Caenorhabditis elegans: one gene and its partners. The protein of the gene in region 1 purifies or fractionates together with the protein of each later gene. This does not show direct contact. Each region holds a gene or a part of one and is shown in the gene's direction. Other genes may lie near its edges.

Region 1 (6,620 bases):
AAAGTTCCAAGAAAATGAAGAAACACAAAAAAAGTAAAAAGAACAAGAAACATCATCGGAAAGAGGAAGACGGTGATGAGGATGAGGAACGAAAACGGAAGAAGCACAAGAAGCACAAAAAAGAGAAAAAGTCAAAGAAGGAGAAGAGAGATGAGGATGAGGATGATCTTGATACCGAAAAGAAAGAAAAAAAGAAGGAAAGAAAGTATCAGGATGATAAAGATGAGGATTCTAATAGAAAAGAGCCAAGATCTCTAGATGATGAGGACAAAGTGGAGTTGGACAAAAATTTTGCTGACAAAAAAGAAAAGAAGAAAGGAAAATGGAATGAGGATGAAGAGGACATCTTCGAGGATAGAAAAGAGGAGCTTCCTAAGGAATCCGATCGGAGAGACAGGAAAGACCGTAGACATGATGATGAGGATGATCGTAAGGAACGTCGGCATGAAAGAGATTCTCAAAAAATTGATGAGCAAGATAGAAAGAAAGAGAGAAAGCGAGATCGAGAGACCGAGGCATATGACAGTGATGTAAGTTTTGGTTTATTCTTATTTTTAGATTAGTTGTTTTAATTGTTGATTGTTTTGAGGAAAAATTTAGCAATCAGAAATCATCTTCCGGGTTTAGGAAAAATGAACAAATTTTTATAGAAATTGCAGGCCCCCAAGACAAAGGTGAAGCGTGAAGACAAGAAGCGTGACGATCGGAAAGATTATGAACGGGACAGGGAACGCAGGAAGGATGACTATGAAAAGGAGAAGAGTAAAAGAAAGGAGAGTGATCGGGATAATGAAAAAGAGAAACAACGCGAGAAGGAAGTGGAAAAGGAACACGAGAAGGATCGCAAAGAGAAGCGGAAAATCGTTGAGAAAGAGTCTGAGAAACCACGAAAATCGGTTCATGAGCGTATGCAGAAAGCTGACTCATCCACTTCTTCAAGCTCTAGAACTACTACTGCTCCATCACTTGAACGAAAACCTGTCTCGTTTACTGTTGCTTCGAGCAAACCAACGACAAACATCAGAGTTCGTCAATACTCGTCCTCATCATCAACCAAGGAACAAGAAGATGAAGAAGTACGTTTTATTCACAAATATTTCACTAAAATTCAATTAATCAAAAAATATATAATTTAAAAATTTTAGCGGTCGAAGCGGGATCGCCGGAAGAAGGACGAAACTGACGTGGAGAGCATTGGGGAAAAGGAGAAGGTAATTTTTGTTGTTTTTGAAGAATTTTAATCTTAGATATTTCAGAAATCTTCGTCTCGAAAAGTTCCAAAGGAGAGTGTAGATGTCAAACACAAGAGTACCAAGATTAAATTTGATCTTTTGTAATCATTTTTGTATCTATATTTGAGTTATTAATTATGTTCCATCCTATTATTCGTTTTTCTCATATTCCCCCCTATTTTTCTAGTTCTTCTTAGAGGGAACCACATCTACTGTGACTTTGATTCTCTTTTTTCACCATTATTTTTTTTTTCTAAAAACGCTTCCATTTTTATTCATTTTTCGTCCCATCTGTGGAATTATTCTGTTTTTTTTTCACTTTTCTTGTTCCTGTTGGAATAAAAATTCCGTTTTATTTTTACTCTATTTTTACCTTTTTTCTTATTTTTATCCCAAAATTTCTCGGTCCTGAATTTGCCGCAAATAATATCAGAATGGCTAATTTTACAGATTCGATTTCAAAAAAAGCGCCGAAATTAACCTTTTGGTAATAAAATCGAAAATTGAAAAAAAAGTTTTGGAGAGAATGCGTACATATGTATTTTAGATGATGAACACAAAATTGTTGAAAAATTTTACTTTTAAATAACATTTAATAATTCAATAACAGTCGAATTTGATATCTTAATTGAAAAGATATAAATATTCTTTTCCAGATGGATATTAAATTTGAAGGAAACGATGCCGAGTGCACAGCTGGCCTGAAAAAGGCCAGTGAAGGAAGTTTTGTATTGAAAGATCACGTTCTGATAGAATTCAAAATCAACGGAAAAGTGGCGGGAAAGATAAAGACACCATGTGAGGGTGTAGTTACTTTTGGAAAAGGTCTTAAACCAGGAATCGTATTGAATAAGGTAAATTGAAATTATTTATTCAATTGAAACTGTTTTCATTTTCAGGGTCAAGTGATTGCTACAGTATCCGAATGTACTCATGCAATTGTTATCAAAGATATGTGTGCAACATGTGGTAAAGATCTACGTGAAAAGGGAGGACGAGCCGGTCAGAGAAAGGAACAATCAACGGCTAATGTATCTATGATTCATCATGTTCCAGAACTTATTGTGTCGGATACGGTTAGCATCATTTTTATTACCCGGATGCGGCGATTTTTTCAATAAAAATACGGTAACCGGTCTCGCAAAACGTTGTGCGCCTTTAAATAGCTAATGCAGAATTTTCATCGTTTTTCGAAAGTTAATTAAAACTTTAAAATAAAGCAAGTTTAAACTATTTTTAAGTAAAGTATACGATTTTGAGAAAAATAGAAAACTTCATGAAAATCCCATAATATTACAGTTCTTTTTAAAGACGAACATATTTTTGCATTTATCAAAAATTGTCGTGTTGAGACCGTGAACCGCATTTTTGGCTCAAAAATTCGCCTACTAGGCAAATAATATTTCGATAAAAAACTTTTTTTTCAGCTAGCAAAAGAGATTGGATCAGCCGATGAAAACAATCTGATCACCAATAGAAAACTCGTATTGCTTGTTGATTTGGATCAGACAATTATTCACACTTCCGACAAACCAATGACTGTGGATACTGAAAATGTAAGAATCAATAGTTTTGACGAAAAAAAAGTTTTTTTTCAGTTTTTCTCAGAGAAAACTGAAAAATTGAAAAAAAATGTTCCGAAAATTAGCAAAAAATTAAAACACAAATTTAACGAATTTTGGTCGTGTCGATGAAAACAAATAATTTCAAACAACCATATAATTTTCTTCTAGAAAAAAAATGGCCAAAATGTAAAGCCATTTTTCGAAAAAAAAAACACTTTTCAGAAAATTAATAAAGATTTCAAAAAAAATTTCTCATCGAGCTTCTATGTAAATGATAAAGTTAGAAAAGCATAATTTTCTTATCGTAATAAGAAAAATCGACAAAAACTTTAAATTATTTTCCGAGAAACCTTTTTTCTAATTTAATTTTGGTACAAAAAAATTGTGTTTTTTGATTTTCTAAAATTATCGAAAAATTGTCACTCTTGATAGGAATACTCATATATTTTCTATAAATTTCAGCACAAAGACATCACCAAATATAACCTTCACTCTCGTGTTTATACCACTAAACTCCGACCACATACAACAGAATTCTTGAATAAAATGTCAAATATGTATGAAATGCACATTGTTACCTATGGACAACGTCAATATGCTCATCGTATTGCTCAGATTCTTGATCCAGATGCTCGACTCTTTGAACAACGCATTTTGTCTCGAGATGAACTATTCTCGGCTCAACACAAGACCAATAATTTGAAGGTATAATTTTTAAAAATTAAAAATAAAAATAATTTCAAACTCCAATGGAGTTTGCCCAAAATTCGCAAAAATCACGAAAAAAGCGAAAAACTAAAAACTATAATTTTAAAGTCATTTAAAAGTTTTTTACAAATTCTTCGTTTTTTTGCTCTTTAATATAAAAAAACGGAAAGTACATTTTTTGTCAAAAAAAAACACCATTTTTTTTAAAGCGAAAAACAAGAAATCTTCAGCCCTGAAAACATGAAACTCGTAGAAAATATTAATCGATCAGAATTGTGATGAATGAAAAATGAGTTTTCATCAATTTTTCGACTGTTAATGAAAATTTCAAATTTTTAAAAAGTGTTACCATGAAATTTGGTTTTTTTTTAACATCATAGAATAAGTGTTAAACACAACAATTTTTATTCAGGCTCTATTCCCATGTGGCGACAATCTTGTAGTGATTATTGATGATCGATCAGATGTCTGGATGTATTCTGAAGCACTTATTCAAATCAAACCTTATCGATTCTTCAAAGAAGTCGGCGACATTAATGCTCCAAAAAACTCAAAAGAACAAATGCCAGTTCAAATTGAAGATGATGCTCATGAGGATAAGGTTCTTGAAGAAATTGAGCGAGTTTTAACGAATATTCATGATAAATATTATGAAAAGCACGATTTAAGAGGATCCGAGGAAGTGTTGCTTGATGTAAAGGTAAATTTTCATTTTAAATATTTAGTTATTGAATTATTATTCTAAGTTGAATATTTAAGTCTTTTGGACTTCTAGAAGTTGATTTTCAGGAAGTGATCAAAGAGGAACGACACAAAGTTCTTGATGGATGTGTCATTGTTTTTTCGGGAATCGTACCAATGGGTGAAAAGCTTGAAAGAACTGATATTTATCGTTTGTGTACTCAATTTGGAGCAGTTATTGTACCAGATGTGACTGATGATGTTACTCATGTTGTTGGAGCAAGATATGGAACACAGTTAGTTTTATCATTTTAGCATTTTAAAATTCTTTTATTTTCAGAAAAGTTTATCAAGCCAATCGTCTCAATAAGTTTGTGGTCACAGTTCAATGGGTATATGCTTGTGTCGAAAAGTGGCTTAAAGCAGATGAAAATCTGTTTCAACTAACAAAAGAAAGTACTCCTCCAGTTGGACGTCCACTTGGATCAAAGTATGTCAATGATTTGGCAAATATGGACACAATTGGGAAAGCCGCGTTAGCTGATATGAATAATGAAGTAGATGAAGCTCTATCGGATGATGAAGACGATGGAGACAATGAGGATGAGGATGATGATGGGAATGATGTTGGAGAAGATAAGGGAGATGAAAATTTAGAAGAGAAACAAGAGAAAAATGAAGAAGAAATGGATGATGTTGAGCAGAATGGATCTGTTGAGAATCAATCAGGAGATGCTTTGGAAAACGAGACAGATTCTACATCAAGGGGACAGAAAAGAAAGCATTGTCCTGAAATGGAGGACGAGGAAGAGGTAAGAAACTTGAAAATAATTTATTCCAATAATATTTATTTCAGGAATCAGATTCTGATAATGAGGATGACGATACCCCTATGTCGTACAAAGCACTTTTGTCAGATTCACGCAAAAAAGGTCGAATTGTTCCAGAAAACGAGGATGATGCAGTATTTGATGTTGATGATGAGGTAAAAAGGGCGGCAAGTATAAAAAATTGAAAATAAAACGGAAAGTTTTGAATTTATAGTGGCTAAAATTAATAGTAGTGAATTTTTTGAAAAAAGTTAAATTTTGGCTTCTTGAGCTTAAAAATATCAATCCAAATCGTTCCAGTGTCTAGAATTTATCGAAAAATACGACATTTTATCGATATTAAACAAAAATTCAAAGAAACACGTGAATCATTATTCCTGCTTGGGAGATCAAAAGTGTTTTGAAAAAAAAAGACTTTTACAGAAAGGCCACGCACCAGCTAATATAGATGAAGAAGAAGATGACGAAGACAATGAAGATGAGGAAGTACCGGAATCTGATGATGACGATGAGTTCGAGGATATGGCTGCATTGATCGAACGTCAGATTAGCGATGCAGTAGATGAAAAAGATCAATGAGTTTTCTGTGAAATCATCATGTGCTATTATTGTTTTCATTTCCTATTATTCTTTCAGTTGTTTCCCATCTTTTACATCTCATAATTATCACCCCCGTTCCCCATTTGATTCGATACTCAATGTTTTCTGTACTATTTACCTCCATTTAAATGGGAATAATCTGACAATTAATGTCGGCTGCTTGATCAGAGTGATTTTCATCAAATCAATCAAAACTTCACTAGAAGCCTGCATTTTTGTCATATATAAACGTTCACGGTTTGGAATATAGATTGCTTTTTATTCACTTATCTTTTGCCTTTTGATTGTAAATTCAAGAAAAGTCTGTCACTATGGAGTTATTCATCTTTCGATTGCTTACTTAAATACCTCTATTTTCATTTTATCGAATTAATTTTTTTTTCTAAATCGCGTCATTGTCTCATTTCTTCTCTCGTTTCACGTTGATCGTTATTATTTTTTTCTGAAAATGAATGAGATTCATTTCTATTTTTCTTGCTGACGCTTTCGCAATGCCGTTTGATTCGGAAGTATGATTTATTTTTTTCGAATTATAGGATTAATGTATAGTATTTGTTACGCGAGACCAAAAAAAGTTTCATGTAACAAATGTAGTACAATGTTTACATTTCCACAAAAATCAATAATTTACAATTTGTATACAATTCAATGTGGTCTTATATTACACAATCAATCGTTTCAACAACACGTTTTGCCGAACTGGATTTTTATCGATCTTTTACTATTTCCTTATTATTAAAAGTTATTAAAAGCTATATATTCGCAAAAAGTTTTGAAAAAAATTGGTAGAGTGATTAGCTATTGAAAAAACTTATTTCATTTCCTTTTAGTGACTAGTTTATTTACCATTGCAGTGAAAGTTTATGAAAAAAGTATTTACTTTTCTCTTTTGAAAAGAAATATTTTCTCGCATTTTTTGTCTATAGAGCATTTTTGCACACACGCGCACTAAGCGCCTTTTTTGTATGTATTTTCAGCGGTTTTTATCGATTTACTCATTGTCA
Region 2 (2,962 bases), 2.2 Mb from region 1:
CTTCTCCAAAGAGCCAATTCCGACACAGCATCCGATGGAAGTTGGCGAAGAACCTGTAATCGAACATTCAGCTGAAGAAAGCGTTCATATTGAACCACCAAATGTCACTGAAATAAGGGAGGTGGTACCACAAATTACCATTCAGCCTACTCGTCAAGACAGCGTCGTTCAACGGGATGCAGAAGAGTTAGACACTTCAGCAGTTCCAAGCCCCCAACCGGAATCAATCCTAGATGAGCCCGAAGAAGAAGAAGAAGAACTTAGCAATCATGAAAATCATGCCGATCAATCGATGGATGTAATGGAAGTAGATCAGGAAGTACCCGAGGAAAGTCCCATGGAAGTCGGTGAGCAAGAAGAAATTGAGCAACCATCTGTATTCAAGGACATTCTAGCCACGGAGCAGGCTGCACTCTCCCAGGAACAAGAACCAGAGATCGTTGAGAAGCAGGCAGACAATGATGTTCAGTTTGTTGATGGTAAGTGTTTTACTTGGCAATAAACATTGAGTTATTCATTTCGCAGATCAACAAGTGGGAGCACAACTAGATGTAGAAGACGAAGAAGAAGTGATGAGCGAAAACGGTTCCAACAAAAGCAATAACTTCTCTTTTAACTTTTTTGGGAATAGCAAGGGTACATCAGCGGGAGAAGGTGGCGGTGAAGGCAGTAAGTTATGAAACACGTGAAATTAAAAAAAACTCCATTTTTATAGACTTCGACTTTAATTTTGACGGAATTGGAGCAGGAGATGATGGTTCGAACAATGGTGGTTCTACTGGAGATCTGGATTTCCTTAACTATGACGGAGAGGATGAAGGAAAGGGTTCGGGAAACACTCAATCCGATCCGTTCGGATTTGCATCAAATGGTAACGCAGCTGGTGGAGGTGGAGATGGATCGTTCAACTTTAACTTTGACGGTGACGGTGAAGGCGGAGCAACTTCTGGAGCGGGCGGAAACAGCACCTCGTTCTTTAACTTTTAGAAAATTATCATGTATTATTCAGCTCTTGTATCATTTGTATCGTTTAATGTCAGAAATTTTAGATTTTATTGGACCAAGAAATTGCCTCTTTTTTTTCTTTTTGAACAGCAAAAATATACATAATATAAAGTATTGATCATCTCATTGCGTTTTATTCTTTTTCACTTTAATGCTTTAAATGTATAGCTATTTAAATAATATTTATTCTGAAACAAACTCAAGTTCGCTTATGTTCGCAAAATTTTTGCTCGTAAAATCAGCAGCATTCGACGCAATGAACGATGCTCCGGTATAACGCTAACGAGCTTTGTTTAGCCATTGGAATTTTATTCGAAAAACGAAAATTGTCCTGTCAAATTTAGTGATTTTCATGTTTTTTTCCTTCAATTCTTTCCCACCAATTTGAATATGAGACATTGCAGCAATCTCCCTTCTGATTATTCAATTTAAATTGTTGGTATACCATAGTTTATGTTTTTCCTGTTAACCTCAATGTTTATTATTAATTAAAAGAGGTTGTTATATGTTCAAAGTTACACTTAAAATTGTGATGAGACTAAGACGAATTGTTCTTTATTTTTCAACCTTTAATGTCGGCGGAAAACTTTTTAAAAGTAGTTTATTGCAGAGACTAACAGTAATAATGGCTGACGACGAGCTTGAGACCTATAGATTGTGGAGAATCCGTAAAACAGTTCTTCAGGTAAACAAAATTTGGTATTTGCCATGATAATATGTTCATATTTAGATGGTTCACGATCGTGGTTATCTCGTAGCTCAAGATGAATTAGATCAACCATTGGAAACATTCAAAGTGCAGTACGGAGATCGTCCCTCTGAAAAAAAGCCGGCTCGCTCAGATCTGACAATTCTCGTGGCTCACAACGACGATCCAGCCGATCAAATGTTTGTTTTCTTCCCAGAGGACGCCAAAATTGGAATCAAAACTATTAAAGCTATCTGCCAGCAAATGCAAGAACAGAATATCTCCCGTGCTATCATTGTCGTACAAACCGGAATGACTCCAAGCGCCAAACAATCCATTGGCGACATGGCCCCAAAGTACATGTTGGAGCACTTTTTAGAGGCTGAGCTCATGGTAAACATCACAGAACATGAGTTGGTACCAGAACATGTCGTCATGACAGCCGAAGAGAAAGCAGAACTACTTGCTAGATAGTAAGTCTTCATATTAAAACATGATTATAAATATGATATTTTCAGCAAACTTAAGGATTCTCAGTTGCCACGTATCCAACAATGTGATCCGGTCGCTCGTTATTTTGGTCTCCGCCGTGGACAAGTTGTCAAAATCATTCGGCCATCGGAAACTGCTGGAAGATATATCACTTATCGTCTTGTGGTCTAAATCTTTTCTAAACCCCCTTGAACGTTGATCTTGGCCCAAAAATTTTCTGATTTTGGGTACCTTTGTTATTTTATTTTTTGTTTTTCCCGTTATTAAACCTATTTCTCTTGTATTTCAATTAAATCTTATTGGAAAATCGGTAGAATCCAATGCGACTTAAATATATACACAAGTTCAATTTTTTTAAGTATCTTAAAAAGTAGAACAGAAAAATTCGTTTAGTATTCCGAAATGAGCACAGATGTGGAAGCGGCGCGACGAAAATATGAGGACCGCCGGCGAAAAATTCAAGAGGAAGAAATGAAAGAACGCAGAGACGGCATGAATTTATCTTCTGGAGATGATGATCAAGACGTGGATGATATGTTTCTGACTGCATTACAGAGAAAACGAGAAAAAGTATTTGTGTAGATTAGTATTTTAAGAATTAAAAATTAAACTTTAGGTACATCGTCGAGCCCTACTGAAGCAAGTACTGGCTCCGACAATGAATCAAAAAGAAGAAATTGAAAGAAAACGAAAGAAAAAGGAAGAGGATAAGCAAAGTGAAGAAGCGAGAAAAACACTTTTGGAGAAACATGCTGAGATTATGGAGACACAAGGAGG
Region 3 (4,066 bases), on another chromosome or scaffold:
AGAATTTGGTACAACTATCACAAGCGCAGTATTAAAACTGGTTTTGTCTAAAACACTGTACATAAAGTGACATTCAGATGTGTATGTGCGTGATTTCCTGCAAAAATTGTATACCTGAATGTAACGCAAGCAGACCAGCTAACACTTTGCATAGCGCATCGTTTCCTGATCGAATAATAATGATTCACACCTATTATCTATTATCCGCGGTTAGTTGGTGAAAGGAGATGAGGGGATTCTTGGCAAATTCTCGTTTCCGACCAATTCGCAGTCTTTATCGTCTTCCACAATTTCTTAGTATTATTCGTTTTTTGCCCTGCGTGTCGGCCCACCATTCATTTGCCCTTCCACAATATCTTTCGTCACACTTTTCTGTCCAAGCGTGAACCTTTGCTATTCAAGTGCACTCAAGCGAATTGCCAGCATTACAGAAAGTGTATAAAATGATTATAAAGACGGGTGTGAAAACTGTGTATTCGCAAGATGAAAAAGTGTGGACTTTTGGTTAAAGCTAGTGGAAATTTTTATTTATGTTTTAATCGTTCAATGACTCATTTTTCTTATCAAGGGGTTTTTGCAAGATTATATAAGTTTATGATTTTTTTTCATTAAAGTTCATTTTTTAAATTGCGCAAACATGATTGATACGTGAAAAAATGAAAAGATATATTTTTTAATTTTGCTTTACAAAATTGTATTTCGGGGGGCGGATAGCTCAGTCGGTAGTGGTGACCGCTAGAAATCTGGAGGTCATAAGTTCAAGTCCGGCCTCACCCCCTAGGTTCACCCAGCCACTATTGGGCTTAATGGTATTATGCCTATCATAATTTGTAGTCCACAAAAAAATCTTTGTTTGCCAAACTTCATTAGCTCGAATGCTCTTGCGACCACTGTTAAAACATTAATTCGTCCAAAGTAGTTTAAGAGTTATTCTATATGCCGGCGGTATTATTTTTCCACTAAGTTTCCCAAATATTCTATAGTTGAGAACCGAAGTATTATAAAATTACAAATAACTGTTGCGTTATTTCTGACATTGTTTCTGTAGTTTTTGAGATTTTTTGCCCACAAACTCCATCATTCATTTAGGTCTCCATTCTTACAAACAACATTTTGAAGTCGATTTGAAAAGATAGTCACATGAACACTGATTTTGTAAAGCGTCACAAATATTTCCCTTCTCAAACACACCTAGTACACACCATTAAAAGTTCCACATTAGTTCTTGTTCTCGTAACTAGTTTTCTTTTGTGAAATTCCAGAGGAATCAAATTTTATGACAAGTTGAAAAATTAGGGCGGACGACGACGAGGTGAACACTAAATCAAAGACCATTGGAATCTTCAATGTTCTCCTGGTCAGTCATCGTAGAACATTTCGCTTCCTTATTTCAGTTTATTTTTCCTTGTGGTCTCTGCCATAGTCCCGTTTTGATTGAAAGTCTAGGTCCTTCAACAATGCATATCATACCCGATTCTCTTTTTTCATGCTTAGACAGATCTCTAAGCTTACGTAACAGGTTCCTTCCATTCGTATCGTTTTGCCCCATTTGACGATTTTTCTTTTTCACAGCTACTTTCTTGCCGCATTTGCATTAAATGCTAAACTAAGATTGATTCAAATATTAGATATGAAGATGTTTCGATGATGGAACTATTTGAATTCAGTGACTTCTGTGACTTTTTCTATACTGTTCTTGTAACTTTCTGTAAATTTTTACATAAACGGTATCTTACAGATTTGTCATGATTACAAACTGCCTGATATTACTGGCAATTTTGTTTGGATTTGCATCGACTCAGTATCTGAACTTAAACCTTCATAGACATCAAAGTTGTGCATGGAGAAAAAGTAATTATTAAACTATCGTTGTCACTTTTTTAATACTTTACGTGTTACAGGTTCTCACTGGAACCGCAAAATCGAGTTCCAGGGTGGCCACTCGGATAGTGGAGCGCTACTCAAGTCAACTGAACAGAAAGGGTGCTATGCAATTAGTGTGAGTTAGCCCCCAAGAGTGTTTTATTTTGATTTTTGAAAAACAATAACAATGCTTGATGATTGACGTTATTACAATAATAATAATAATTCATTTTCTTTAGGGAAAAGTGAAAATTCATGAGGATGTGAGCGACGAGTTGTTGATCTACTTGTCCGTGTCGACCACTGGTGACACTCAAAGACCACCGGAAGTGTGCAGGGATGCCAATCCGGACACTGGTTGTGGAGGTGTTGGATCATGGTAATGAGTTATTGACAGAAATATTAGGGAAATCATCAAGATTCTAGAGCTAGAAAAAACATTAGGAAATGAAAAAAAAGCCTTTTGAGCAGTTAATGATAGATGAACAGCTGTGAAGTACCTAAAAGTTTTAAGTTAGAGGTCACTCTTAAAACAAAAAGTATAACTATAACAATTTCATACATAAGTGTTTAACCTGCAAAATAAATTAAAAAAAAAGAACTGAAGAGAGTGGGATTCGAACCCACGCCCCCGAAGGGACTGGTGCCTTAAACCAGCGCCTTAGACCGCTCGGCCATCTCTCCACGTACTACGCTATCATAATTTGTCGTTATGTTATAACTTCAAACAACAAGATTTAGTTGTATTTCGATGATTACGAAATTTAAATTTTCGAACTTGAAAATTTGTTGTTTTGTTGTTTCCAAAAAATGACGTAAACACTGCTGTTTCAGTCTCTACTGCCGGCCATGTGATTCTTTGGACTCTCTCACGAAAATTCTCGGAGCTCAACTTGTTGTGAACGGCAAACCAGCAGGATGTGAGCCATTAAAAGTGAGCAACATCGTTAAAAAAAATTTACGATGCAGTCAATAACACTATTTTTAGAAAGGAGAATATGATAATGTTGAACTCCGTTTCTGCCTTCCGAAATTAGCTGCATTGTTGGAATGGCAGGGAATTTCAGAAGACGCGTTAGATCACATTTTAGCTGCTACTACTCAGGTTTGACAAAATGAAAATAATTATTGAAAGAAAAAGTGTGTTTCAGGAAGGAAATGGTCCACCAAAGCTTAGTCTATTTGTGACCGTTTATTTGTTCGACAAGGATATTAAACCTCTTCTAGTGTAAGTTCTGAAAATTAAATAGGTTTTAGCCAGATTTACAGTTTCATATACCATCTAACAACCATTCACTATATTCGAGACATATATGTCACATACATTACAGCTATATGAAAAATAACACTATTTTTCACGAGTAGAAAATTTTTAAACAAATAGAAAAATGAAATAATTTCAGCTCTCAACGAAAACTAGAATCTCGCATCCGTGAACTTCGCAAACTTGGCGCTGATGAGCCAGTTGACTCTCAAACTTATTGGAATCTGCCATTCAATCAAATTATCAAAAAGCAGTCAGTTTTCGTTGGATGTCACAAACTTTACGGAACCATTAGCTTGAGCGACATTCAAGCCAAGAAGAAATAAGAAAATATATTTGGATGAACAACGATGATAACTTCATGTTTATTCATTTCGTTTATGCGGGTTCATTTTTTGTGAATTATGAAATAAACACAATAAAAATTATGAATTAGATAAGCAAATTGATCTTGACATTTAATAAATAACAGTCAATCTTTATGGTGATACTGTGCTCAAAGACTCGTTGTGTAAAAAACAACAGTTTTGTCTGGTATCCTTTTGAGTATGTTTTTTTACATTTCTTCAATATGCATTTTATTCAATACAACCTCAATATTTTGCTAGCCTCAAAATGTTTCTGGGATTTTGTTCAAAGTATTCTGTATACCCTTTACTTCTAGAATTTTTATTCTTGTGTATACAACAGTACACGAATTCTACAGAAAAATCTTGCAAAGTTACTAATAGTAAGGAAAACTGGAACTATATATGTTGTTGGTTAGAGATCATAAAGTGATATTTATGTAACACATCTGTAAAACTTTATTGCATTTGTTCTCACTACTAGTTGAAGGACATAAGGCTTTTGATTCATTATTTTCCTTTTTTTTTACTTTTTTCCCCTTTCCTTTTCTTTTAATCTCTTCATCTTTTCAGAATCTCATAACCTTCATGA
Region 4 (3,125 bases), on another chromosome or scaffold:
ATGAGACTAAAAATTGTCTGAAAACGCTGAATTTCATACTGACCCTTCTGTAAAACTTCTCAAAAAAAGTTATGGTCAAAAAAAAGTTAAAAAGTTATAATTTACAAAATCTCTTCGTCCATCGACTTTAAAATACTCAAGTCGAGTTGAAAACGCAAGATTTGAATTAACTGGTATAGCCAGTTGGCCAAATTTACAGTGCACGACAAATTCGGCAAGTTCGGTAAATTTGCCGAGCTTAACAAACTCCTAAAATGTTATATTTTTCAAAGTCTTTAGAGCACCAAAACTACTGAATTCTTAACACACATCTGGTTTCCAAACAAGTTCCGTGTAGTGTGTCTTCTTCAACATCAAAACAGCTCAATTTTGTGCCATTTTACAAAATTTTTGAGGACAAAATCAATAGTTTCGGCTAAAATTGTATTGTCAATTTTTGATGTTTGCGGTAAATTTGGTAAATTTGCCCCACACCCCTGATCCCCACACACTTATTTAACATTTGTGAATAATAGGCGGATCATAGTTGGCCACTTTTTTCAATTTTCCAAAAAAATCGAAAACTTTATTAAAGGTCAAAATTCCCCGATAATTTAGTTACTGTAGCTTCAAAATCCACAAACACCGTGTGCAATAAATACACGTAAATTCACGGAAACTTGCGGGCTTTTAATCAAATGGTAAGCGGAAACTCAACTTTCAATACGGCGTCCTGCGCGTGAAATGCGCTAAATTGGAAGAGGAGACCCAAAAAAACAAAACCTATTCCAACTTTTTATACTGTAGTTTGTCTTCAGTAAGCAGCATCTTGAAAACTATGGAAGATATGAAAAACTTTTCAACTAGAAAACTAAAGTTGATAATGTAGCCAACATTTCTCAGTTAAGAACTTTTTCGTAAGTGAAGCCATTGAGTAGTTACAACAGTGGTAATGTATGCGCAATGGGATTTTATCAAAAACGTAGTACTTGTGTTTTTAAGTGCGTATATCTTTTTAAATAATAAAAGAATTAAAAAAAGTAAAATCAAGAATTGTAGTGTTTTGTATGCTGAGCATTTCTTCGGCTAAAAGTTTTTTGATATCTATGCTCACGAGAGAGCTATGCTCTTTTGGAAAACGTACAAGTTAAATTCCTTGATATAACCTCGCTAGCTGTTATAGATCATAACTCAGTAACCAGTGACGGAATCAAAAAACGCTAAACTAATGAAATGTTCAAAATTGTTCAAATATTATTTTCATAATTGACTGCTTCCTGTTTTATTTCTTATTCGCAAAGTTACGCACGTTTAAATAATATTTATCGTGATTTCTGGTATATTGAACTACAAAAATTAAAATTGTTATTGAAAATCTTATTGAACAATCCATTTTTCATTCAATTTTAATATTTTTTTCAAACGTAAATTAGCAAGAATTTGAAGCTTTGTTCAAAATCTTCCGTTTTTCGCCGCTTTTCACGTTTTGAGCGAAAGAGCGTGCGCAAGTGAGAGGTGAAAGATGACGAGAGCGACTTGCTTGCGCGTTTCACCCGCAGGAGGCCGTGTATAAACTTTATATATACTATAAAGTTTGTTTACCGTTTCGAATCAGTTCCTTTATCTTTTTCAATAATTTCTCGCATTTTTCTCATTTCTTATTTTAATTTTATTTGCATTTGCCGCGTAAGTGACACGAAAAGTGAGCGCCGCAAACGCGCTCCGCTGAGAATTTGTTTGTGCACTCCTCTCGAATAAGTCAAAAATACACGTCTTTATTAAAACTTATTGATTTTTCAGTGTATTCCTGTGATTTTTCTTGAATTTCTAAATGTTTTTGCAGATGAACACTCAAATTTCCATGCGAAACTTGCTAACAAGCTGCTCAAAAGCCATCACAGCAGGTTAGTAAAGGAAAAAGGTCGAAAAATATCATTTGAAGGTTATTTTCAAAAAAAAAACGTGGCAGAACATTTTTCGTACAACATTTTTCATGTGAAAATTGCAATTACTATTATTTCCATTCATTTCTCCTCAAAATCAGACTTTTTATAAACCATTTCCCCCTTCCTCTCCCTAAATCAAAATCACTATTCCCGCGTGAATTTCACATTTTCAGAGAGAAATAATGCGTGGAGAGCAAGTTTGGGAAAAATCAGCCGTCGAGACTACTTGCATCGGTACCAAGTTAAATTTATCCGTCCGGATGGTTCGACAATCATGGTTCCCGCCGCTGAACCGAGACAGGTTGCTTTTTGAAAAATACATATTTAATTGCAGTTTTTATATTTAATCAGTTTTTTAATTGTACATATTTTCAGACATTCCAATCTGCCGTCGACCTCAAACAGTTGAGCGAGGATGAACGACGACAACGGCTGGCTGCTCGTAAACCAAAAGCCAAGATCACAAAAACAGTAATTATATAATTAACGATTTCAAATTAAAAATGGTTTTTTCAGGAAGTTATCGATGACACCTTCGATGAGTCGGAGTATATGAAGTTTTGGTCGGCACCCGGGCAGAAATCCACGAAAAAATAAGAAAAATCTCGTTATTAGCATGTAGTATTTCTTTTTTTTTGTTAGATTTTTTGTTTTCGTTATATTTACTATGAATATCGACTTTATTCTCGATCTGATTAATATTGATTTGTGCGTTTAGTCGCAATTTTATATCAATTATCTCTATTTCACTAGGGAACCCCGTAACAGCTTGGTGGATAGGAAACCAAGAAGTTTGTGGAGGAAAATCGAGTTTCCGGTCGAAATTAGCTTGAAAATACTAATATGCTAAAAACCTCTAAAAACCTCATTTTTCAGCGATAAACGCCGAATTTTCAGCCATTTTCCGAGAAAAACGCGAATTTTCGGGTAAAAAACCCGATCTCAGAACGAATTTGACTTCAAAAATGGAAAAATGCGATAAGAAGCGTGAAGTTTCACTGAAAACTCTTAATTTCAACGTTTTTTACTCAAAAAATCGTATTTCTGGCTCAAAAACAGTGAAATTTATCATTTTTTTTCTGTGAAAAAATCGATTGGGGGGACCAATAAAAGGTACATTTTTGTGACCCACTGACCGAAAATGTACTTTAATCAAAGAATAAGCGCGTAGTAAAGGACCATAATATTTATTAAAGATTG

The links.
Region 2: the proteins of fcp-1 (region 1) and rpb-5 fractionate together in Caenorhabditis elegans (co-fractionation; one large-scale study listed by BioGRID). This does not show direct contact.
Region 3: the proteins of fcp-1 (region 1) and gmap-2 fractionate together in Caenorhabditis elegans (co-fractionation; one large-scale study listed by BioGRID). This does not show direct contact.
Region 4: the proteins of fcp-1 (region 1) and mrpl-55 fractionate together in Caenorhabditis elegans (co-fractionation; one large-scale study listed by BioGRID). This does not show direct contact.

The regions. Positions count from the first base shown.
Region 1 is NC_003279.8:9,003,977-9,010,596, reverse strand, and holds fcp-1 (RNA polymerase II subunit A C-terminal domain phosphatase), read left to right. Parts: upstream 1-1,888; coding exon 1,889-2,086; intron 2,087-2,131; coding exon 2,132-2,308; intron 2,309-2,659; coding exon 2,660-2,788; intron 2,789-3,259; coding exon 3,260-3,502; intron 3,503-3,917; coding exon 3,918-4,205; intron 4,206-4,294; coding exon 4,295-4,482; intron 4,483-4,526; coding exon 4,527-4,998; intron 4,999-5,042; coding exon 5,043-5,171; intron 5,172-5,439; coding exon 5,440-5,595; 3' UTR 5,596-6,084; downstream 6,085-6,620. Other genes in the region: rbpl-1 (E3 ubiquitin-protein ligase RBBP6), read left to right, coding at 1-530, 651-1,076, 1,146-1,211, 1,257-1,337. UniProt on the Caenorhabditis elegans protein: During the late stages of oogenesis, dephosphorylates 'Ser-5' of the heptad repeats YSPTSPS in the C-terminal domain of the largest RNA polymerase II subunit ama-1.
Region 2 is NC_003279.8:6,848,794-6,851,755, forward strand, and holds rpb-5 (DNA-directed RNA polymerases I, II, and III subunit RPABC1), read left to right. Parts: upstream 1-1,615; 5' UTR 1,616-1,630; coding exon 1,631-1,690; intron 1,691-1,735; coding exon 1,736-2,166; intron 2,167-2,211; coding exon 2,212-2,356; 3' UTR 2,357-2,460; downstream 2,461-2,962. Other genes in the region: syp-4 (Synaptonemal complex protein 4), read left to right, coding at 1-479, 526-669, 716-987; sacy-1 (RNA helicase), read left to right, coding at 2,588-2,755, 2,802-2,961. UniProt on the Caenorhabditis elegans protein: DNA-dependent RNA polymerase catalyzes the transcription of DNA into RNA using the four ribonucleoside triphosphates as substrates.
Region 3 is NC_003284.9:12,940,939-12,945,004, reverse strand, and holds gmap-2 (GM2 Activator Protein family member), read left to right. Parts: upstream 1-1,738; 5' UTR 1,739-1,745; coding exon 1,746-1,851; intron 1,852-1,901; coding exon 1,902-1,999; intron 2,000-2,102; coding exon 2,103-2,242; intron 2,243-2,465; exon of another isoform or gene 2,466-2,547; intron 2,548-2,697; coding exon 2,698-2,797; intron 2,798-2,851; coding exon 2,852-2,968; intron 2,969-3,014; coding exon 3,015-3,091; intron 3,092-3,266; coding exon 3,267-3,453; 3' UTR 3,454-3,563; downstream 3,564-4,066.
Region 4 is NC_003282.8:442,175-445,299, forward strand, and holds mrpl-55 (39S ribosomal protein L55, mitochondrial), read left to right. Parts: upstream 1-1,810; coding exon 1,811-1,883; intron 1,884-2,098; coding exon 2,099-2,226; intron 2,227-2,300; coding exon 2,301-2,396; intron 2,397-2,441; coding exon 2,442-2,522; 3' UTR 2,523-2,612; downstream 2,613-3,125.